Notamacropus eugenii: one gene and its partners. The protein of the gene in region 1 interacts with the protein of each later gene in a pairwise test. Links are inferred from orthologs where the notes say so. Each region holds a gene or a part of one and is shown in the gene's direction. Other genes may lie near its edges.

What was found.
Region 2: the proteins of APOA1 (region 1) and APOC1 interact in a two-hybrid assay, tested with the Homo sapiens proteins (2 studies listed by BioGRID, with this or other methods). The link is inferred for Notamacropus eugenii from reciprocal best matches to the Homo sapiens genes APOA1 and APOC1.
Region 3: the proteins of APOA1 (region 1) and serum amyloid A protein interact in a two-hybrid assay, tested with the Homo sapiens proteins (2 studies listed by BioGRID, with this or other methods). The link is inferred for Notamacropus eugenii from reciprocal best matches to the Homo sapiens genes APOA1 and SAA2.

Annotation. Positions count from the first base shown.
Region 1 is NC_092876.1:135,302,842-135,310,322, forward strand, and holds the start of APOA1 (apolipoprotein A-I), read left to right. Parts: upstream 1-4,422; 5' UTR 4,423-4,492; intron 4,493-4,694; exon of another isoform or gene 4,695-4,749; intron 4,750-5,352; 5' UTR 5,353-5,433; intron 5,434-5,710; 5' UTR 5,711-5,732; coding exon 5,733-5,775; intron 5,776-6,056; coding exon 6,057-6,210; intron 6,211-7,481. UniProt on the Homo sapiens protein: Participates in the reverse transport of cholesterol from tissues to the liver for excretion by promoting cholesterol efflux from tissues and by acting as a cofactor for the lecithin cholesterol acyltransferase (LCAT).
Region 2 is NC_092876.1:27,410,241-27,418,185, forward strand, and holds the start of APOC1 (apolipoprotein C-I), read left to right. Parts: upstream 1-4,888; 5' UTR 4,889-5,113; intron 5,114-5,316; exon of another isoform or gene 5,317-5,566; intron 5,567-6,472; exon of another isoform or gene 6,473-6,506; 5' UTR 6,507-6,637; coding exon 6,638-6,648; intron 6,649-6,950; coding exon 6,951-7,005; intron 7,006-7,359; coding exon 7,360-7,453; intron 7,454-7,651; coding exon 7,652-7,802; intron 7,803-7,945. Other genes in the region: APOE (apolipoprotein E), read left to right, coding at 1,848-1,893, 2,172-2,361, 2,830-3,505. UniProt on the Homo sapiens protein: Inhibitor of lipoprotein binding to the low density lipoprotein (LDL) receptor, LDL receptor-related protein, and very low density lipoprotein (VLDL) receptor.
Region 3 is NC_092877.1:36,342,349-36,349,329, reverse strand, and holds the start of serum amyloid A protein, read left to right. Parts: upstream 1-3,955; 5' UTR 3,956-4,006; intron 4,007-4,651; 5' UTR 4,652-4,664; coding exon 4,665-4,767; intron 4,768-5,356; coding exon 5,357-5,495; intron 5,496-6,981.

The DNA of each region.
Region 1 (7,481 bases):
CCTCATTTTGTGGGTAGAACAAAGCCCGCTTGGGGGCCTGGCCTGGGACCCCAGCCTCTACATTGTCAGGACTTGAATAAAGCTGACAGGGAAGTAAATCTTGCTCTTTGTGACCATCTACCTCCCATTCTCCATCCCAATTCCATCTCCAATACCCCTTCTTCCCTGACCCCAGATAGCTGGTGCTCAGGAGCTACTTAGAGTCCTCCCCCCACCTCTGTGACTCCTAATCTGCTATGGCTTAAATCCTTGGCCTTAAAAAATGCCTCTACACACAATTTCCTTCTGTAACTGATCAAAATCTGCCCCACTCCCTGTACCCATTCATTCTGTGAGATTATCTGAAACTATGTGGTCCTTTCTCCCAAGAACAGTGTCCTTGATTAGACCTCAGAAGATAAGTAACGTTAGCCCTATCAGAATCATGAATACTCATCTAGCCTATGTTAAAACATTTTCAGTGAAAGAGTAAGCTCCGTATTTCAGAAGGCAGCCTATTAAATGTAGAAGAGTAGATTTAAATCCCTTCCAAAACACAAACCTTCAGATCTTGGAAAGCTATCAGTGTAGTCTCCTGAATTTTAAAGCTAAACAACTGGAGTTCGTTCGTTTCCTGAGCTCTCCATCTTGGTAACCTCCTCTAAATTCTTTGTAGTTGCTCAATTTCCATCTTAAAATGTGGTGCCCAGAACTTAGAAAAACAGCCCTGGTGCATTTGACCTGCAGAGAATACAACGGGATTTCTATTTTTGATGGAATTTGTTCATCCAAATGAATCTCTAATCTATGGAATATACATTGGGGAAGAGAGGAGTATTTTTTTTTGGAGGGGGGAAGGCAAGGCAAGGCAATTGGAGTTAAGTGACTTGCCCAAGGTCACACAGCTAGTAGGTGTCCAGTGTCTGAGGTCAGATTTGAACTCAGTCCTCCTGACTCCAGGGCCAGTGCTCTACCCAGCTGCCCCAAAGGGAGGTATTCTTAAGCAACAGATTACTCCATGAGTCATCTGGTTGTCAGCCTATCAGCTGGGTATCCATTTCCTTAAAGGTTGCTGCTGATGCTTGCTCCAGCACCTGTTGAGAACCCAAGGAAGGTCATGGGTGGGCCGGGGAAGGGGGAAGGGGCGGGAAAAGGGTGGTATATAACAGCAAGCTACTGAACTGAGAAGCAGTATGGTAAGATGACAATTATACCATGTTGGGTTTAGAAGCTTACTCCCAGATCTGTAACAGATGACAGATATATAAATACATATGTTGTATACATATATATAATATATATGTTTATATATGACATTCTACTGCAAATCTAGGAATAGGTATATTGTATATATGTGTATACATACATATATATAATATACATATACATAATATATTGTCTATATTATATATACAACATATAAACATATATACACACATATATCAGTATGACCTGGGTCTAACATTAAATCGCTTTCCTGGGCCTCAGTTTTGTCATATATAAAAAGGGATTGGACTAGAATATAGTTGAGGGGTGGAGGACCTGTGGCCTCAAGGCCTTGGGTGTGACCCTTTGACTGAGTCCAAGTTTTACAGAACCAATCCTTTTTTTAAGGGGATTTGTTCTGTGAAGTTTGGATTCAAAGTGCCACATTTGAGGACCTAGAGGGCCACATGTGCCCTTGAGGCTGCAGGTTCCCCACCCCTGATCTAGTCATTATATGTTCAGTAAAATTCCTCCCAGTGCTATGAATTGATGTTAAAGAAAAAGTATCTCCAGACTTGTACGAATAGCATGTCTGTGGCTAAAAGTACTGTGCAGTGTTCTGGTTGCACACCCCCTGGTCATCATGGTACAGTGGAAAAAAGCCCTGGTTCTTGGAGTCAAATGCTCACTGTGTGACACTCGTTTTCCCTGGGCTTGTTTCCTCATTTGTAAAATTCTTGTTGTTGTTTAGTCATGTCTGATTCTGTGATCCCATTTGGGGTTTTCTTGGCAGAGATACTAGAGTGGTTTGCCATTTCCTCCTCCAATTCATTTTATAGATGAGGAAACTGAGGCAAATAGGGTTGAGTGACTTGCCCAGGGTCACATAGCTAGTGAGTGGCTGAGGTCAGATTTGAACTCATGAAGATGAGTCTTCCTTACTCCAGACCTGGTGTTCTATCCACTGTGCCACCTAGCTGTCCTATTTTTGTAAATTAGAGGATCGTAGGAAAAAGAGTTAGGGACCTGGGCTATGCTCCCTCCATATTTATGATCCTAATGAGTTCCTATCTTCCAAACTTTCCTTCCACCAACTTCTCCCAACTATCCCTGCATTCCTTCTTTCCTTCTCCATCTTTCCTACCCTACGTTGGGGAACCATCTCCATTCAGCCTTGATCTTTATCTTGCCATTGGACCCAGATGGTTCTGGAGTAGAGAGTGAGGCCAGTGACTTTGCACAGCCTGCCTGTCATGACATCACCTGCCTGATGTCATGGTCCTCTTCGAGAACAAAGGACAAACACCCACAACTATATACTGTCACATGTTTTCCCCCAGTTGTTTATCTGAGCTAAGACTTCCACTCATCTAACCCTTACCCCTAGTCACTTAGCACAGATAAGCATGAGTGCTGACATGAAGCTCCTGGATGGAGTTGTTCTGACCATGGACATCTATGGGAGTGTCCAGAGGAATCAGCTTTCCCTCCCAGGGCAGCTGGGGGCTAGAGTGGATCTTCTGGTTTTGCTCTGGATATAAACACATTACAGGAGAGACAATGAAAACTGAGCCTGTGTTCACAGGATAGGGAGCAGGCCTGAGGGTCAGAGGAAGGGGGAAGGAATGTGGGAAAGAACCGAGAATGTTTCACCTGGAGGAGAGGAGGTTTCTTCAGGTAGAATGTGGTAGCTGTTTTCAAGCTATTCAGAGGGCTGCCCCACAGAAATGAGATTGGTCCTGCTTGGCCCCAGAAGGTAGAGCGTACAGTGCAGGGAAGCAGATTTTAGCTTAACGTAGGACATTCCCAGAGCATTAGCGCAATGCACCAATGCAAGTGTTTCAATCTTTAGTAGTTTAAGAATTTTTTTTTTGGAACACCTGGACACCCCATATAAGGAGGAACTCCCTAGCAATGAAAGCTGGCCAGTGAAATGGGTTATCTTGGCAGAGAGTGAGCTCCCTGTCATTAGAATTCTAGCAGAGGCTACAACCACTTGTCTGAGGTTGAATTCAAAGACTTCCAAGGTTCCTTCCATTTCTGAGATTTTGTTATTTGTATGTAAACCCAGAGATAATGTGTTTGCATCAAGACTTTCCTCCTTGATGAAGAGCGTGATTACTTGATGGTCTATGCCTGTGGGAGGGATTGGAGTTGGCCAGAAACTGGGAGAGGAGATGTTGCTTTTTCTGGATTTTGCCTTCTAGACCCATGGTTGTAGGTTCTCCTCAGGGAAAGGCCCCTGAAGGAAGAGATGAAGAATTTGGGGAAAAGCTGACCTGCTTGAGGCACTGACTGCTTCCTCTACATGGCAGCTTCTTGCCTCCAGAGAACTTTCTTGTAGGTACAGAGCATTAAGCGTGAATCCTGCCACCAAAGAGGAATGTGTTGGACAAATTCTCAGGCTGGAAGTCTAGGTTACACCCATAGCTACATATACTATCCCATTTGATCTTCCCAGAAACCTTGCGAGGTGGATGACAGGTATTCTGATTGACATTTTAAGGTTAAGAAACTGAGGCCCAGAGAGCATAAATGATTTTTCTGAAGGTCACATGAGTAGTAAATTAAAAAGCAGGTAGTAGTTCTCCTGGATTCCAAACTAAGGGGTTTTCCTACTCATCCTCTACAATCCCAGTGGGAAATTGTTTCCTCCAGCATTCAGTAGTGCAAGCAGCTTTCAATACCATTAAGTTACCTGTTGTGTACAAAGTTCAGTAACAGGTATTAGGGCAGACACAGAGGAGTGAAGATACAATCCATACCTTCTATCTAAGTTGGAATCAGTCCATGAGAAAAACATTTGCAAATCAACAGAGAACTCGAGACAGGTAACAATGGGTGATAGTGTGCCATACTATACTAAACCACAGGGTCATCCATTTGGAGCTAGATCAGTCCCCACTAAATATTTTACTGATTGCCTTGTAATTGCCAAGAAATTGAAGCCTTCAGGTGCCATGACATCCAAGCCTTTGGTCATTTATCAAACTGAAGAATAATGATGCTGCTGCACATTACATACACGATATCTTTGTTAATCTTCATTGGGTATTATGTGTATGACTTTTCCCATAGTACAGATGAGGAAACTGAGGCCTTGGTGAAGTGATGTACTTCTAGTCTCACACAGCTATGGACAAGTCAGTCCTAGTTAATAGCTGACCTATGAGTCAGAGTTCAATGAGTCAGCCGGTGGAATCTTTCTGGAAGAGGAGCTTGAGGCAGGTTTGGGAACAGCCTGGGTTAGTAGAGAGAGACCATTACAGAAATCACTGCTACAGCTTCCCCTGACTTCAGAGACCATGTGTGCCATTCTTCACTTTTCCGGATGTTGGGGGGTGGAACAGATAAGAAGTGTGGAGACAAAAAGCTTGCTTCTTGCACTTTCCTGCTCCTTAAAGAGGGAAGGGGGAGGGTCAGCACAAGTGATCCCTTCTGAGCCTTTGTGGGAAGCCAGGCAGGGAGTCCCTCTTACCTCCCAATTCCCCCTCCCCCATTCTATGTGTGAGTCCCTCCCTTCTGGGCCCAAGGTGAAGTGGGTAATGAGACCAGCCAAGGGAAGTATGATGGAGTCTTTCTTTCTTCTCACCCAAGGTTTTGGAGGGGAGGGTTAGGACCCAAAGGAGCAAATGTGGGGCCAGCATAACCTAGGTCTGGGGTGAGGAACCAGCGACCTGGAGTCCACATGTGACCTGCCAGGTCCTCAGGTGTGTTCTTCTGATTGAGTCCAAGTTTTACAGAACAAATCCTTTTATTAAGGGGATTCGTTCAGTGAAGTTTGGATTCAGTCAAAGGGACCTAAAGACTTGAGGACCTAAAGGGCCACATGTGGCCTGGAGGCTGAAGCTGAAGGAGGCTGAAGACCCTGGCCTCGGCTATGCTGGCTATGCTGGCCCCTAACCCCAGCTAGCTTTACAAGAATGAGATTACTCTCTGCATGGGGTTTTTCTTGTCTGACTCCAGCCTATCCCTTGCCCAGTAGACCATCCAGGATTGCAGAGCCAGAGCTAGGTCCCCCTTGGGCAATCACTGCCCCCACTTTCTGTTTGCCTACCTGCTTTAGACCTAGGATTTCAGGGGAGCGGGGGAGGAGAGACAAGTTTGACCCTTGAACTCTAAGTTCCACATGTCCTTCTGAAGGTTTACCTTATCTCCCTGCTTTAGCCCAGCCCTCATTGGGAATATAAATACCAGCTCCTGAGGAGAACTACCACCCCTGATAGATCACCTGGAGAGAGCATTCAGGTAAGATCTACCAAGCCAACGCTGGCCACTTGACTGGGCTTGTCTGGGATAAGCTTGGCCAAGCCTCTGAGATTGGCTGACCTCCAGATGTCTCTGACCTAGCAGGAGAAAGGGATGCAGTAAATGTAGGGAAGGACACTAGGTATTATATAGATCCAGGTTTGGACAGGACCCCTTCATTTTATCGATGAGTAAGCAGAAAGCCAGGCTTCTTTCCTCAGCCTATGTGATTAGCCTTGCCTTCTCAACGATTTAAACCTCTCTCCTCTCTCCACAGGTCATAGGAAGAAGTCCTCAAGATGAGAGCTGTGATTTTGAGCCTCTCCCTGCTCTTCCTCACAGGTAGGGGCCAACACCAAGCCCCAGATCCCCAGTCAGTCAGGAACCTTCCTCCCCCTTTATTCAGATTACACTAGATGGGATTGGGAGAAGGTGGGTGGCAGGAACACTTAACACAAAATTTGCTCTCATTGACCCTGGGCTGAGCTAGACAACTGTCCCCTCCCATATGCTGTCTTTGCTCACTCCTAGCTCAGAAACTCCTTCTCTCTGGCACCCCCTGAGAAAGGACAGTCAGGCAGAGGGTGGTAATGACTTGGTTCTGTCTTCTTCCTCTCCTCAAGGGAGCCAGGCCAACTATTTCTGGCAGCATGATGAACCTCAGACACCCTTGGAGCAGATGAAGGATCTCTTAACTGTCTACCTGAATACCGTCAAGGACACTGGAAAGGAATATGTGTCTCAGTTTGAGTCCTCTGCTATGGGCAAAGAACTGGAGTAAGTAGAAAGAATGACTGGCTGGTACTCAGGACTAAAAGCTCCTCTGAGGGGTTTGCTGCCCAGGGTACAGAAACCTAGAAAGTCCAAGCTCAGGGAAGGACTGGACACCATGGGATACCATGCTTTGTTCTGGGTGGGCTCAAAGTACAGTCTGTCCTGTGGTGCCAGGGGAGGAAGCTACTGGGTCCTCACTTTCCCCAAAGGGGTGAATAGGGAGAATTAGTGACTGCTGGACCCCAGAGTCCCCAGGGATGGCTTCCTGCTCCTGGATTTTACCTGGCCTGGCAGACTTAGATAAATTGCCTCCTCACCTTCCTTCCCCCAAGGCTTCTCCAAAGCCAGCTTCCTCTTTTGGGCATTTTTTTAAGCTTAAGAAAAGGAGACTTAAGTTAGGAGAAACCATAGCAGGAACGATGCACCAGGGGTATCAGACAGGGTGGGTCAGACTCTTCCTGAGTACTGTCTGCCCAGGGATTCACTTTCCTTGTCCCCAATACCTATTTTTCATTTGGGAAGCAATTCAACTCACTTCAATTCAACAAGCACCTACTAAGTGCCAGACAAGAGCCTGGGCTCTGGGAATACAAAGAGAAAAATAGTCCCTTTCCTCAAAGAACCTTGATTCTATTGGGAGGAAACAAACAAACTCAGATAAGTAAATACAATACATGGGGTTATACCAGATAAACAGAGTGGTTTGGGAGTAGGGGTGGTAGGGCACTAACTCTTGGAGAAATAAGACTATGTCTCTGTGAGGTGGTCCCAGGGGGAGGGAGTTAGGGCCTCCAAAGAGGCAGATGGCGGGGGAGTTCTAGGTGCAGGCAACAGCTTAGGTCTAGAGATGGCAGAGAGACATTGTGAGAAGCATCCAGTAGCTCTTGTTTGTCTGGGATGTGGAATGTGGGAAAGAGTAGTATCATAAAGTGAGGTCAGAAAGATAGATCGGATGCTTGGGAAGTCGCTTGAGAGCTGACATTTTCATACTGAAAGCGATGAGGAGCCATGGATGCTTTTCAAGCAAGAGAGTGACACAGGCAGATCTGTGCTTTGTGACTAGTTGACTGACACAAATGATAATGATCGCTAACAAGATATGGTACTTACTATGTGCCAGGCACTACGCTAAGCAATTTACAATTATTATCTCATTTGACCCTCACAACAGCCCTGGGAAGTAGGTGCTATTATGATCCCTATTTTATAGATGGGGAAACTGAGGCAGGCAGCAGTGAAGTGACTTGCCCAGGGTCTCACAGCTAGTGATGATG
Region 2 (7,945 bases), about 110 Mb from region 1:
AGCCAGTGTTCCCCTGGTGTGTCAGTGACCCCTCATATCCAGCTGTCTGCCCCCACACAAAACAACCTTTCAAAGAACTGGGCCCCCACCCTTCCTGCAGTATTCTGGACTGAGAACAGACTACAGCTGGCCCTAAGTTATCTTGTCCTGGTCTCCATTTTATGTGCCCCACTCAGGTCGTGAAGGCCATTCTTTGCCCCCTCAATTCAGCCAAGTGCCATGGCCCTCCCTGAGACAAGTTATCTTCATCCGGATGTCTAGATTCCTTTATCAGCATCCCCTATCCTTCATGGAGGCTGCCCCCTGCCCTAGAATTCCATTTAGCCCTCCCAAGAGGGGCACAGGGATGGACATTCTCTGTTCGGTCTTTGGAAGTGGGGGGCAGGGATCAGGTCAGGTTAGGCGGTGAGAGGTCAGCTTCCCAACCCCAGGAGGGGGGAAGCAGCCCTAGTGTACCGCCCCCAAAGCTGGGGGGGGGGGGTGGCATGGAGGAGGGCCATGCTCTCCTCGTGACAGGTCCGCCCTGGCCCTGGAGGAGGGGGCGGGGGTTGAAGCCCTATAACTGGAAGAGGTCCCTGAGCCCGGGTCCTACTCAGCCCAGAAGAGGATCTCTCTGACTGACCCAGAGGAAGCCCCAGCTAAGCAGCCAGGGCCAAGGTAAAGAAGCCCCAGGGGACAGAGGCTATGGGGATGGGTGAATAGAAATGCAGGCATGGGGAGCCTTGCACTAGCCTCAGTTGGCTCCTTGCCTTCAGGCAGGTCCCATCTGTGGGCTGTGGATGAATGCTGCTCCACTTTTGACATTCAATGTCAATGCAGAGTATGGTGGAAAAAGCTGAATTTGGAGAGAGGTCTGAGGTTCAAATCTCAGCTCTGCTGCTTAATACCTGTCTGACTTGGGGCTAGTCACTTAACTCACTCTCCTCTTAGAATGAGGAGGTTGGTTGGATCCGACAGCTTCCTTAATCATGCGGGTCCAAGATCCTAAGGGCAGCAGCCCTAGTAATACTCCTTATGGGGGATACAGACTTCTAGACAGGACGCCGGCTGAGCAAGAGACACAGAAAGACAGACATAGGAGAACCTAAAGGGATTCGGGAACAGAGGACAGATGTCCCAGATCTGGGTGGCAGAAAGGAATGCTTGGGTCCTGAGAGTGAGAAATGGGGGATGTGAGGGAAAGCAGCAACTCAGAACCCCCAGGATCCTGGGAAGGGAAATTGAGATTGGAATCACAGCTTGTCCACATCTAACATCAAGGCAGCAAACCAGAGTCAGAGGCTCAGGGTTCAAAGCCTACCTCTGAGGATGCTTACTGTAGGTGATGCCTTTGGCCAAGCGTTGAACCTCACTTTTTGCTCCTCCAGAAAACAAGAGGTTTAGATAAACTAGGTAGTCCTCTCCTCTTTCCAGGCTAGGATTCTTTTCAAGGTGGGGTGATATTAAGCAATCTCCTTTGCCCCTCTGATTAGGAATCGTGTTAATGTTTATCTAGCGGCACCCCTTAGGTCTTCTCGAGACAGTGGAGATTAGGATTTTGCATGGAAGGAATGAAATTCAGGAAGTGGGAGGGCTTGAACTTTGGAATCCAGATTTGAGGAAAAGACCAACAATGGGAAGAGATTTAAGATATAGAATACCCCAGGTCTAAAACCTTGGCTCCCTAACAGATAATCAGAGGAGGTTAGGAATACAGAATTAGGAGGCAACTGTTTCCTCATTATCTGTTGGTGGGAGTTGACTGATGGGCTTAGTGGGGGAGGACAGAATAAAGGGAGGAGGTCCCTGACTTCAGATAGACTTCTCTCTCTGCCCTAGCCAGACCAATCACCAGCTGTGCTGTGAAAATGAAGTTCCTGTGGGCATTGTGGGCACTGGCGGCCCTCTTGACGGGTATGCCCCCTCCCTGGACCTCTCCATTCCTGCTCTCCTCTGTCCTGTACCAATTTTCCCTCTCCCTTCAATATTTTCCCCAGTAGCCCCTCTAATCTATCCCTCCTTAGTCCTTCAGTCTGTTCTTACTCCCACTATCTGTCTCCTCCCATTTCTAGGATCTGTTTGTCCTTTCTTCCCCAGATGGGCTAAGCCCTCCCCATCCTCTGCTCCCACTCAGCCCCTGTGAGCTGGTTCCCTGGAGTCTCAACACTCCTGTTCATCTATCTGCCCCTCAGGCTGCCATGGAGAAGATGTCAAGACTTCTTCAGCGGACCAAGTTGCAGACCCAGAGCTCTGGAACACTGAGCCAGCCCGGGCCTGGGAGACAGCCATGGGCCGCTTCCAGAGCTACCTAGACCAGCTACAAACCCGGGTCGAGGACCTGCAGAGTGAGGTGCACAGTTTCCAAATAGTCAAGGACCTGAGGTGAGGACCATCCCCACCATGACCTCTGCCACTCAGGTCTCCCCCAACCCTGCCTTGTGAGTCTTAGACCTAGTAGTCCATCCCCAGCCATGGCCCAATCTCTTTTCTCCACTTGCCCAGGAAAATGGAAGCTGACTCCCACTGGCCTCACTGACTCCTGTCCACCCAATGTATTTCTGCCTCTGGCAGTGGTTCATCTGTTTCCCCTTCCCATTCTCCTCTCTCTGCTCCTTTCCATCTATTCCCACTTTTCTGGGTGCCCACCATCACTGCCCCCCTGTAGGTCTGTCTCCTTCCCAATTTAGTGCAGTGGACAGAAGTGGATTTAGAATCAGAGCCTTGGGCTTGATTCCTGTCTCTGACCCTTCATAGCTATGTGACCAGGATGAGTCCCCTCACCTCTCTGAGGGACCTCAGTTCCTTCATCATGTCCAGGTTCCAATCCAGCTTCCCATCTGCTCCCTGCAGGGGTCTTACGACAGACACTCTGAGCGAGTTGAACGATTACAAGGCTGAGTTGGACCAGATGCTGACCCCTATGACTGAGGATACCCGAGCTCGGCTGGCCAAGGAGCTCACAGCTGCCCAGGCTCGCCTCAGTGCTGACATGGAGGATGTGGGATCCCGCCTTGCCCAGTACCACCGAGAGTTTCATGCTGTGGTCAACCACAACATAGATGAGGTCAGAAACCGAGTCTCTGCCTACCTGAGGAAGATGAGGAAGCGCATTGGGCGGGACTACGAAGAGCTGCAGACTCGCATGGCCACCTACCAGACTGGTGCCAAGGAGGGTATGGAGAGAGGGTTCGGCTCCCTGAAGGACCTGGTCCCCTTGCTGGAGCGTGTCCAAGAGCAGAACAAGAAGAGGATGGCTAACCTGGGCACCCTGGCAGGGGAGCGCCTGCAGAACCACCTGGATCAGATGCGCAGTCGAATGGAGGAGGTCAAGGCCAAGGTGGACGAGCAGTCAACCCAGCTGCAGGCTCAACTGCAGGGCTTTCACGACCGCCTGAAGGCCTGGTTCCAGCCCCTGGCCACCGACCTGCAGCGCCAGTGGACATCGCTGGTGGACAAGGTTCAGGAGGCCATCAATCCCAAAGGGAAGCTGGGAGAGACACCCGATATGCCCCTCAGTGACAACTGAAAGTTCCCCAGACTCCTCCACAAGGCCCCCGTAGTTCACCCTGTCTCTCACCTGGGAGCCCTCTTATCATCACCCACCAGTGGACCCTCCCCTGTCCTCCCCCACAACCTGGGGAGAGGTGGATGCTCCAATCCCACTCTCACTCACACCAAGACACCTTCCGACCCCCTCACATCCACAGGGCAGGTCAGTGCACCCCATGGCTCTGGTCCTCAGTCCTTCTACTACCCTTGGAAGATGGGGGGGGCCCACATGTAGTCTAAGCTCAGGCCATCAATAAAGTGAAAGCTTGCTTATGTACCAACCACTGATTCTATGTTAGTCTGGGTTTATCTCTCCCTCAGGAAGGGATGATGGGGGAGGTGAGTATGGGCTGGATCTCTCTGTCCTTTTGTCTCAAGCTTTTACTGAAGTGACTCAAGATAATCCCTTTCTTCTTCCCTGTTCTTTCTGCATAGATCTCTCTTTCACTCCTCTCTCTGGTCTCTGGTCTCCTTTGGCCCCATAGACACCCCTCTCCTCTCTGCTTCTCCCCTCTTCCTTCTGAGATCTCCCTCTCTTCTCCCTCTCCCTTTCTGCTGCTCCCTCCTGCACCCCCTTCTCTGGGTCTTGACTGACTTTCTCACCCTTCTGGGTCTCTCATTTCTCCAACAAGTCTGGTTGGAGGGCTCCTGCTTGAGCTAAGTGGGATGAGGGTTAGAGCAAGGCAGAAGTCTCCCTGGGGTGTCTGGAACCCTAGATTTGAAAGCAGGGGAGAGGTCACCAGAGATAAAGATCTGGGAATCCTGGTAGGAGCCAAGGTGAGAGGGGAAGCCAGGGGAAAGAGGCCTCTCTAGGAGGCTTGCTCAACTTTTTCTGCCCTCCCCCTTGCCCCACCCCAACCTCTTTGGAAATTCCAGAGACACAATCCCCCAACCCTCTCCTCCCGAATCCTAGATCCCTTCACTGGGGAGCAGGCACTGGTGGGGTGAGAGTAGGAGAGTTTGGGGTTTCCCTTGCCACTGAAACCCCTGGACTCTCCCTCAACCCCAGCATTTTACAGAACCCAAGAAAACTTGCGTGAGAATCCTGGAATACTTTAGACTATAGACCATCAAACCCAAAAGGTAGTCAGGCGTTTAGAAGGGTTAATAAGGACGTTAAAGGTCATTTACTCCAACCCCTCATTTTTCTGAGGAGGAAACTGAGGCTTCAGTCATTTAACCTCATTTCCCACAGAGATCGGAATCCAGGGCCCTTCCCCCTCTCCCCACCCCGCTTCCAATGGGCCCCAGTTCCTCTGAAGAGCCGTCGGTCCCACCTCCCTTATTTTACCAAGAAAAAAAGAGGCCAGGAGAGGAGCCGAGAAGTAGCCAAGGTCAGCCTAGGGCTGGAATTCAGATCTCTTTGATTCCTAAAACCGGGGCCTCCCTTTGAGGCTGTCAAGTGCCCGGAAGGTTTTGCCGGGCAGAGGGTTATTTGTTAGACACAAAAACAGGGACTCCTCCACCGCCCCATCCCACCCCAAGGAAGGATGGTCACACTCCTTGGCTGCACGTATTTAATGTCTGGCGTCGGAGCTGGAGCTTTCAGAGGACGGAAAGAGAAGGCTTTCGGGAAGCTGGGGAGGTAAAAATTGGCGGGGTGGGGAAGAGTTGAGGAGGAAAGGGTTTTATTTTTATAACCTCATCTGAGTAACAAGAGGGAACTAAAGCTGGCCCTGGCGGTGGGAGATGAGCGAGCGACTAGGTGGAGGACCCTGGCTAGTCCAGACCAAGGGCTCTGAGCAGACAGGGTGACCAAAAACTGGGAGGGATGGGGGGGGGGGGGGGCGCTGAGAGGGGGGGTGCACTAAAATGACAAGTCTGCCCAGAAGAGCCTGGTGCAGTCCCACAACGTTCAGGGTGAGCGTCCTTCGCCTGGGAGCTGCCCACCCCCTTCCCTCCGTGGTCTAGAGGAGGGTAGGAGGGTGAGGAGGGCTCAGCCAACCCGGAGCCGCGGCTCGCGGCCGCCCCCTCAATGGGCCGCCAGGGGTCAGTGACGGTCAGCGCGGGGGGCGCCCACGACCGGAGATGCCCGCAAGTAACCCTGCCTGCCTTGGCTCCCGAAAGAGTCGCGGAGCTCCGGGAGCTGGGACTGAGTGGGGGGCCAGGGTGCATGGGGAATGAATAGCGGCGGCAGCGGAGGAAGAGCTGGGATGGGGGCTGAGAGAGTGTTTCAGTCCCTGAGTGGGCTGGGGAAGAGGAGTGAGCATCCCAGAACCCGGAGGGATCAGTCTGTACACGCTTGTGGTCCCGGGAGAACTTGGGAAGAGAAGCATCCTGAGGGAGGGAGACGATATCCCAAAAGGGAGGGGGGACACGAAGAGGGTGACAGGAAGGTGTCCGCACAGGACCTCCCATTTTAAGGTCATCCCTTTCCCCGAAAAGACGGTGAAAAAGAGAGAAGAAAACTTGGGGGAAAGAATGAGGACTTTGAAGGGCGGAGCGGATGGAGGAAAGAGCGAGGCAGAGGGAGCAGGGGCCTTGGGAAGGAGAGCTGGGGGGAGGGGAGTCCCAGGTCTGCGGGAAGGTCCGAGGACCACTCCCCGGGCGTGTTTATTAAACTCGGTCCCCCGTGAATTCCAATTCCCCCTTGAAGAAAGGGCACTGAGGGTGGGAGACCGGGAGTGCCAGGGCTGTGAGAGGAAAGGGGAGGGTAGAATGGGGGGGGGGGGAGGAGATTCAGGGTCCAGAAGCACCCGAGGAGAGAAAGGAAGGTGTATTTGGACTGTAACCCCTGTGGAGATGAGGGATGACCCAGGAAAAAGATGAGCGTGAAGAAGCCGATAATTGGGAGACTCTGATGTCCCCTCTCCCTTATTTTTCCTGTCCCTCCCCTGGGATTCTAAGGCTGACCCTCTCCCCGTCTCCTTTTCTCCGGACATTGTTCAGTTGTTTCTCCGTCATGTCCAGCTCTCCAAGACCCCATTGGGGGTTTCCTTGGCAGAGCCCCTGGAGGAATTGACCATTTCCTTCTCCAGCTCATTTGACAGATGAGGAAACTGAGGCCAGTTGTGTGAAGTGACTTGCCCAGGGCTGGTTAATTAAGTCTGAGGGTGGATTTGAATTCGGGTCTTCCTGCGCCAGGCACGGCGTGGACCAGAAGACTTTTATGGGTATGGGGTGAGTAGTGGGAGGGCTGTGAAAGTCTCGGTGCAGTGTAGCGCGGGGGGCGGAGTCAAAAGGGGGGGATTTGGAAAGCTGTAGGTGTGGGACGGGGAGGGAGGTGGGGACCTGAGCTGGGTCTTTGGAGATCCCAAAGGGACTTGGATGGGTCTCGCCTCCTGCCTTGGGGCAGGGAGGAGAGAATCCAGGAGCCTACCGGGAAGTGGAGGCTGAGAGGGAGGAGGGAGGAGGGGGAGGGGACGAGAAAGGTGAGGCTTTCTGCGCTCCCCGCCCCTCCCTCAGCCCTCTTATAACCGCAGGACGGGGCGCTCTCGCCCACACCCAGTCCAGCAGGTCAGGTCCCAGTTTTTTTCGGTAAGTGCTGGCCGAGGTGCGGAGGGATGGGAGGAGGGAGGAGGGTCTCTGGGGAAGCGGGGGCCCCTGGAGAAGTCACATGGGGGGTAGGGAGGTTAGAGGAAAGGGAAACGGTGTGGGAGGGGAAGGATCCTGAGGGGGAGAAGGGGACTATTTTGTGAGTGGGGGCGCTGAGAATGTCTTAGACTGCCCATCTAGGGGCCACTCTTACTTGTTTCAGAGATGAGAACCCCAAGAGAAGGGTTCTAGAGCACATAGATAGATCAGGGTGGCTAGAAGTGAGAGGGAAGATGAAGGGAGCCCAGGGAGCAGACTGGGGAGACAGTGACAGCGAGGCCACTCTCTGATCCCCAGGGCTCGGGAGCTCTGCTCTCCTCCTCCTCCAGCCTCATCATGAAGCCCTTCCTCTCCTTCGCTGTGCTGGCTGCCCTTCTGTACTTCGTAGCAGGTATTTGGGGGGGGGGGGGGGGGTAGGTGACGGCTGGCTTCCAATCTCCACCCACACCCTAGGTTGTACGTCCCCCTTCCCCGAGCCCAGATTCTAAGGACACCATCCCTAACCCACTCCTGTCTCCAAGGTCCCCCAATTCCAGGCATTCCAAGTGTTCTGAGTGCTCAGGGGTGCTCTGGGTGCTTTCCTTCCCAGAAGGCCCCAGCCCAGCCCAGGCTTCCCCCAGTGTGGCTGAGGACTTCCAGCATTTCCAGGAGAAGGTGAAGGAGCTGGCAGACACTGTGGCCAACAAGGCCAAGGAGACCTTCACCAAGATCCAGGAGAGTGAATTCTCCACCAAGACCAGGTGTGGCTCCTCCCCCTCCTCATCCTCTTCCTCCTTCTCCTCTTCCTTCTCTTCTCCCTCCTCCTCCTCTTCCTCCTTTTCCTTCACTTTCCCCTCCCCTCAGCATCCCACATGAAGAAGTGGGTCAGCCTTCCTGGGCCCTG
Region 3 (6,981 bases), on another chromosome or scaffold:
TCTAAAGGTCAGGGAGTCAGCAAGCAGTGACTAAGCTCTCAGGAGGTGTTCTATTAAGCAATTCAGTTAAATTCCAAAAACATTTCACAGTGTGTTTATTAGATGCCAGGTTTCCCACTATTCCTTGGAGGTTAAAAAAAATACCAAAAGGAAGCATATTTAGGGTCAGGGAGCTCACATTCCACAGATACATTAACAGGTTTTGTTTAGACCTAAAGCCACACAAGGCAAACAGAAGACAAAGAGCCTGCCCACAACAATGCTATCACCTATGCCGTGACATATGTCACCTATGCATCGTGACAGAGGATCTCAGGAGAAGGAAGAAAGGCCAAGTCTTAAAGAAACATAAACTCACCTGAGGTTCCTTGTCCTTTCTCAGGTCAATGGAGAGACTCAGCTCTGAGGCCTGCTGGGTACTAGATGGGAGGCTGATATTTATACAGACCTTTCTGGATTGAGTCTGTTAGCCACTTGGGTTCAAGGTGAGTTGGGGAATTCCCCCTTGAAAATTTTTCCTGACAAATAATAGAAATAGGTGCCCAGAAACACAAATCTGTCATTTTCCCAGATTGCGAAATGTTCAACGTGGGTATTCTTGGAAGGTTTTCCATTTTTACACATTTCTTCTATGCTCAGCAACTGGTCAACTTAACACATCAAACCAGACAAGCACCCACACTGAATGTCATGGATGCATTGTAGTTTGTATAATCCATTATTTCCAACAAATAGAGGGCTGAGTGAATAATTTCATTTTTTAAAACCTGTCATTTTTGTAGCTTTTTAAAAAGCACTTTACACACCGCTCTTATTTGAACTTCACAACAACCTCATGAGGTACATTTAATTTCCATTTTATAGATGGAAAAACTGAGGCCTGGAGATATAAGTGATTGGTCCATAGTGAAACCCACAGATACTTACAAGGTTTAGGCAAAGCTTACTGAATTAAACTTTTATTTGTTTTCTAGTTTTCATTTGTGTCTGAGCCTCAGCTCATGCCATTCCTCCTTTATGGGAAGCTCCCTCCCTCTACCAGTGTCAAACATGACCTCCAGGATGCACCAGTTCTGCCACTTCCTCCATGAGGTCTTCTCTGATTACTCCAGCTCTCCCCTTTCCTAGTCTTTCTAACTTGCCCTGACCTTACCCAACATGGTTGGATCTGTGTGTTGGAGATGACTGTCAGAGACTCTCTCCATATGTAGCTGAAGAAAGAAATATGTTTCAGTCATTTGGCATTTAAACCACCTCAGTGCTGACATGCACTGGCCAGTTAAACCAGTTCTGTGTGTTTCACTCCCAGTGTGTGGGAGAGGGGAAAGAGCTGGTTCTTAGAGATCCAAGAAGTTCATCTGTGGTGGCCTAGCCTTGTCTCTCTCATGTTTCTTGGGCTGTGTGGGTCTCAGGCTTCAATACTGTGGGTGAATAATATGCTTCCTACAGTATGTCTCTTTCCTTCCATCTTTCAAGGTTCTCGTTCAGCTCCTGGATTGCAGAAGAGCTAACACAAACAGTACATGTGAGAGAGGATCTGAGGAATGAGGCCTGATTCTAAGGACTCAGTCAGAGAGCTGCATAAATCCCCCTGCACAACACAGCAGAATCTCCCATTGCCAGGGAAGACAGTTCAGCAGCAAACATTCATGACAGCCATTCATTCTTTGATAATGATCTACTTCTCCCAAGAAGATTGTCAACTCTGTGAGGGTGAGAGAAGTGTCTTATACTTCTACATTATTCTACAATACCTATCACAGTCTTAAGGAATGAAATAGAAAAAAAAGATCAGAGTTGGAGGGAACCTTAAAGGCCACTGAGCCTAGTCCATATAGAAGTCCCTCCCACAAGCTTTCAGGGATGAATGAGAAAGCTTCCCGGGCAGAGGGACTTGCAAATCACAACTATGCCAGCTTTGGGCTTAGAGAGATCTCAGATTGTTACATGAGACCAGACGTCCACTATGGGTAGACAGCACACCAACAAAAGGGTTGGACCTGTTCTCATTGAGTGCAAAAGGGATTCATTGAGGTTGTCTTCTCTCATTTATTCCTCCCTTCCTTTTATCCATCTTTAGGGGCATTTTTCCCTTAGAATTCTGTTCCTTTTATAGCATAATATGGTTGAACAAATTGATAATGATGGAATGTTACCCAAGAAATGAGCAGGTCAGTGATCTTAGAAAAACATGGAAAGACTTGCATGCAGTAATGAAGAAGGAAATGATCTGAACCAAGAGAACACTGTATACAGTCACAGCAATACTGTTTCAAGAACGACTCTGAGTGGACGTTTCTGCCCCCTGCTTCTTCTGCTCAAGGGTCATCAGTCATCCCTTTAATAATACATTCTAAAGTTTTGTTAGGGATTGAAGACCCACATGGTCTAAAGAACGCCCTCTCTTCCTTTTGATGAACATATGCACAGTGTTCGCCCTGGTCCAATACTCCTCTTATTTGAACTTTCAAAACCATCCCAACTCTGTTCTTGCAGTATTCCACGATATAGTTCAAGAAAGCCTAGAGCCCCTAGACACTCTCTCTCTTTATATATTAATTGGGTGATGTTCCCATTATTAATGATTATTATATTATATTGTTATTGTAACTGATTATAATCATGTATCTTCTGCCCTTGCCAGTCCACAGACCATACTTGTCAGCAGAAAACACAACAAAAAAGTATTTAAACATCTCTCTTTTCTCTCTGCCATCAGTTCTCATTTTGCTTTTTCATATCCACCCTAAGACATGGTCATATTCTTTCTTTGATTCTCAACCTCCTGTTTTTCTCAAAAGAAAGACTTCTTTCTGGTTTGATTAGATAATGATGTGGAAACACCATAATGGAGGAGGCACTTGTGCTGTTTTAGAATGTCACAAGACCCCTGATTGGCCTGTGTGTCTCTTCAATCCCTTAGTGGTTATTCCAGGTTGATCAGACAACTCATTCCAATAATTCTCTTGTTACCTATCTTGGTATATTAGAATAAAATATCACCATGACCCTTACTTAACATTTTTAACTTAACTCATGGGGTTAAAATTTTATTTTATTTCTTCTTTTCCTTCTTAAACAAGTTCCAATCGAATAAGTAGAGTACTCAGGTATGGCTGAAACATATGTTTCTTTTTTCAAGTACATATGGAGAGAGTCCTTGACAGTAATCTCTGACACACAGATCCAGCCATGCTGGGTCAACTCAGTGCAAGTTAGAAAGACTAGAAAAGGGGAGGGCTCCTGTAGTCTGGAGTAATTAGAGAAGATGTCATGGAGGAAGTGGCAGATCTGGTGCATCCTGGAGGTCATGTTTGACACTGGTAGAGGGAGGGAGCTTCCCATAAAGGAGGAATGGCATGAGCTGAGGCTCAGACACAAATGAAAACTAGAAAACAAATAAAAGTTTAATTCAGTAAGCTTTGCCTAAACCTTGTAAGTATCTGTGGGTTTCACTATGGGCCAATCACTTATATCTCCAGGCCTCAGTTTCTCCATCTATAAAATGGAAATTAAATGTACCTCATGAGGTTTTTGTGAAGTTCAAATAAGAGGGATGTGTAAAGTGCTTTTTAAAAAGCTACAAAAATGACAGTTTTTTAAAAAATGAAATTATTCCCCCAGCCCTCTATAGATTGGAAATAATGGGTTACAGAGACTGCAATGCATCCATGACATTCAGTGTGGGTGCTTGTCTGGTTTGATGTGTTAAGGTGACCAGTTGCTGAGCATAGAAGAAATCTGTAAAAAAAGGAAAACCTCCCAAGAATACCCATGTTGAACATTTCGCAATCTGGGAAAATGACAGATTTGTGTTTCTGGGCACCTATTTCTATTATTTGTCAGGAAAAATTTTCAAGGGGGAATTCCCCAACTCACCTTGAACCCAAGTGGCTAAAATACTCAATCCAGAAAACTTTGTATAAATATCAGCCTCCTCTCTAATACCCCACAGGCCTCAGAGCTGAGTCTCTCCATTGACCTGAGAAAGGACAAGGAACCTCAGGTGAGTTCATGTTTCTTTAAGACTTGGCCTTTCTTCCTCCTCCTGAGATCCTCTGCCACGATGCATACATGACATATGTCACGGCATAGGTGATAGCATTGCTGTGGGCAGGCTCTTTGCCTTCTGTTTGCTTTGTGTGGCTTTAGGTCTAAACAAAACCTGTTAATGTATCTGTGGAATGTGAGCTCCCTGACCCTAAATGTGCTTCCTTTTGGTTTTTTTTTAATCACCAAGGAATAGTGGAAAACCTGGCATCTAATAAACACACTGTGAAATGTTTTTTGAATTTAATTGAATTGTTTAATAGAATACCTCCTGAGAGCTTAGTCACTGCTTGCTGACTCCCTGACCTTTAGAGGGGAATGACAAAATTGGGAGCAGCTCCCAAAAGCTGAGTGGTACCCTCTCCATGCTAAGGGAACCCAGTAGGGTTTTCCATGGAGCTGATGGAACCCAGTTAGAATGGAAGGGTTATTCTCAATCCAAGTACCTTTGGATATTTCAAACGTGTCCTTCCAAAAAGGAAAGACTTCATGAAAGCAAAGGTAAATGTGGAGACAGAAAAATGAATATAAAAAAGGAAAACCAACAGGGATTCATGAGCATTGGCAGGTCTCTGAGCATCCATCTTCTTTCTACTTGCAGCCTTCCAGCAGCAATGAAGCTCCTCACAGGCCTCTTTCTCTTGTCCTTGGTCCTGTGTGTCAACAGTCAGGGTTGGTTTCGAGAAACTGCGGACTTCCTTAATCAGGCTCGTCTAGGTAAGGCCTCTTCAAGAGCATATCTCCTTTGTTCGAGTTGCTTTGCACGAAGCAGTGAATGATAAGAGGAGGAAGATTGTTTTATTCACAGAAGGCAGATACCTGGAAGGTAGAAGGGCAGGTGGTAGCAGATGCAGCCAGAAATAGAATCTGGTACCTGAGCAGTGGCAAAGGCAGGGCTGGTGGGTGTGGACCTTTCCCTCCAATGGAAAGAGAGATGCTTTAGCTGCATTGGTGAGCCCCCCATGGCTATGGAACAGGAAAGAATCTTTGGCTCAGTTCAGGATGAAAGTTGCTATTCTGAATCTTATCTGAAAGAAATGGAGCAGTAATAAAGGAGGAGCTAAAATATGTTTTCAGTGGAAAATTCTGTTTTAGAACCCATTGTTTTATATTTTAAGCATTGATAATGTAGTGAAGGGACACTTATTTTATAAGGCGCATCTCATTTCCATTGGGGACCAGTGGCTGAGGAGATGCTTTCCCATGGCATCCATTTAAGAAATCTTGAACCTGGGGATGATGTTTCTGTCTTCACTAGAGCCAGATCCATGTTGCTCCTTATGCCTCTTGCCTCTTCCCTTTCTAGGTGCTGGGGACATGTGGAGGGCCTACAGGGACATGCGTGAAGCCAATTTTAAAAATTCAGACAAATACTTCCATGCTCGTGGGAACTATGATGCTGCTAAGAGAGGACCTGGGGGCGTCTGGGCAGCTGAAGTGCTCAGGTAAGAATGTTGGAATGATCCTGAAAGTGGAGCAGATCTGGCCTGTCTGGGGACTCTCAGAGGCCTAGGAAGGCCCATGGATGAACTCACTGCAGACCCTGCAGGTGCTCCTCCTTCTCTGTTTCCCATAGTGTCCAGAGCAGGGTCCTGAGCAGTAGCCATCAGTCTGGTCTGTCCCACAGAGGAAGCAGCAGGGCCTGATGTGTTGTCAGTATTGACCCTGTATCAGATGAAAGACAGACTTCAGAGAGGATTTGACTTTTTTTTAAGCATTTTTTTATTGGGAGTTATTCTGAACTTGTGTGACACCATCAAACAGGAATATTTCCATATATAAAAAATAACAAAATAGAAAACTTTATATGTCACTGTGAATCTCTGTTGTCACCACGTTTTAAAAGCATATTATTCATTCATTACATTAGTCCCAAAGCTGTCCTGGTTGTCAGCGCCTTCCCATACACTTCCTTCTGGTCCCTCCTGGGCTCTCTGAAAGGCTTCATTGATACTGTTTTTTCTTTTTCTTTTCTTTTCATTCATTTCAGGTCTTCTTCTTTCAAAGTCTCTTCCCTGACAATATTTTAATGAAAACTTTCCTTCATAGGAAATTAGTAATGTCAAGCTAAGTTGGTGCACACATTTGACCTGCTGAGAGTGTATACCTCACCTTTCCCCTCCAGTTCATTAGCTTCCCATCAAGATGAGAGAAGCACATTTCCTCACTGATCTTCTGAAGTTTTGTGTTCATTGAGTTGAGATGAGTCCCTAGGTTTTCAAAGTTGTTTCTCTTTATGATGTGATATCCACTGAATAAATGGTTTCCTGGTTTATTCACTTTGTACATTATTCACCAGGTAGAGTTCCACGTTGCTTTCCAGAATGGCTGTACCAATTCACAGCTCCATCTGCAGTGAACTAGTCTGTCTATCCTCTTATGGCCCAGCCCAGGATGTTCATTTTCTTTTTTGGTTATCTTTTCCAGTCTGATGTAGATGAGGTGGCACTTTAAAATTGTTTTCATTTATCTTTCTCTTACTATTAGTGATTTGGAACATTTTTATATGACTACTGTTATCTTACCTTTCTTCTTCTGACAATTTCCCATTCATGCCATTTGAACAAGGCCTTTTGTTCTTACGTCTTTGAATCATTTCTGCAGTTATATTGGCCATCAATGACTTTTATGAAGGAACTTGCCAAGAAGACTTTTTTTCAGTTCACTGTTTCTCTTTTAATTTAACTTCATCCCTTCTGTTTGTGCAAAGCTGTTCAATTCTTTACAATTGAAATAGTCTATTTTTACCTCTCGTGATTGTCTCTACTGATTTGTGCAAGAAGTCTTTTCCTCTTCATTATAAAAGGCATCCCCTTCCTTCTTCCTCTAATTTCTTGATGATTTGAACTTCTATATCCATTTGGAACTTGCTGTGGTATGTGGTGTTCATCTAGATCCAATGTCTGCCCAACTGCTTTCCAGTTTTTCCAA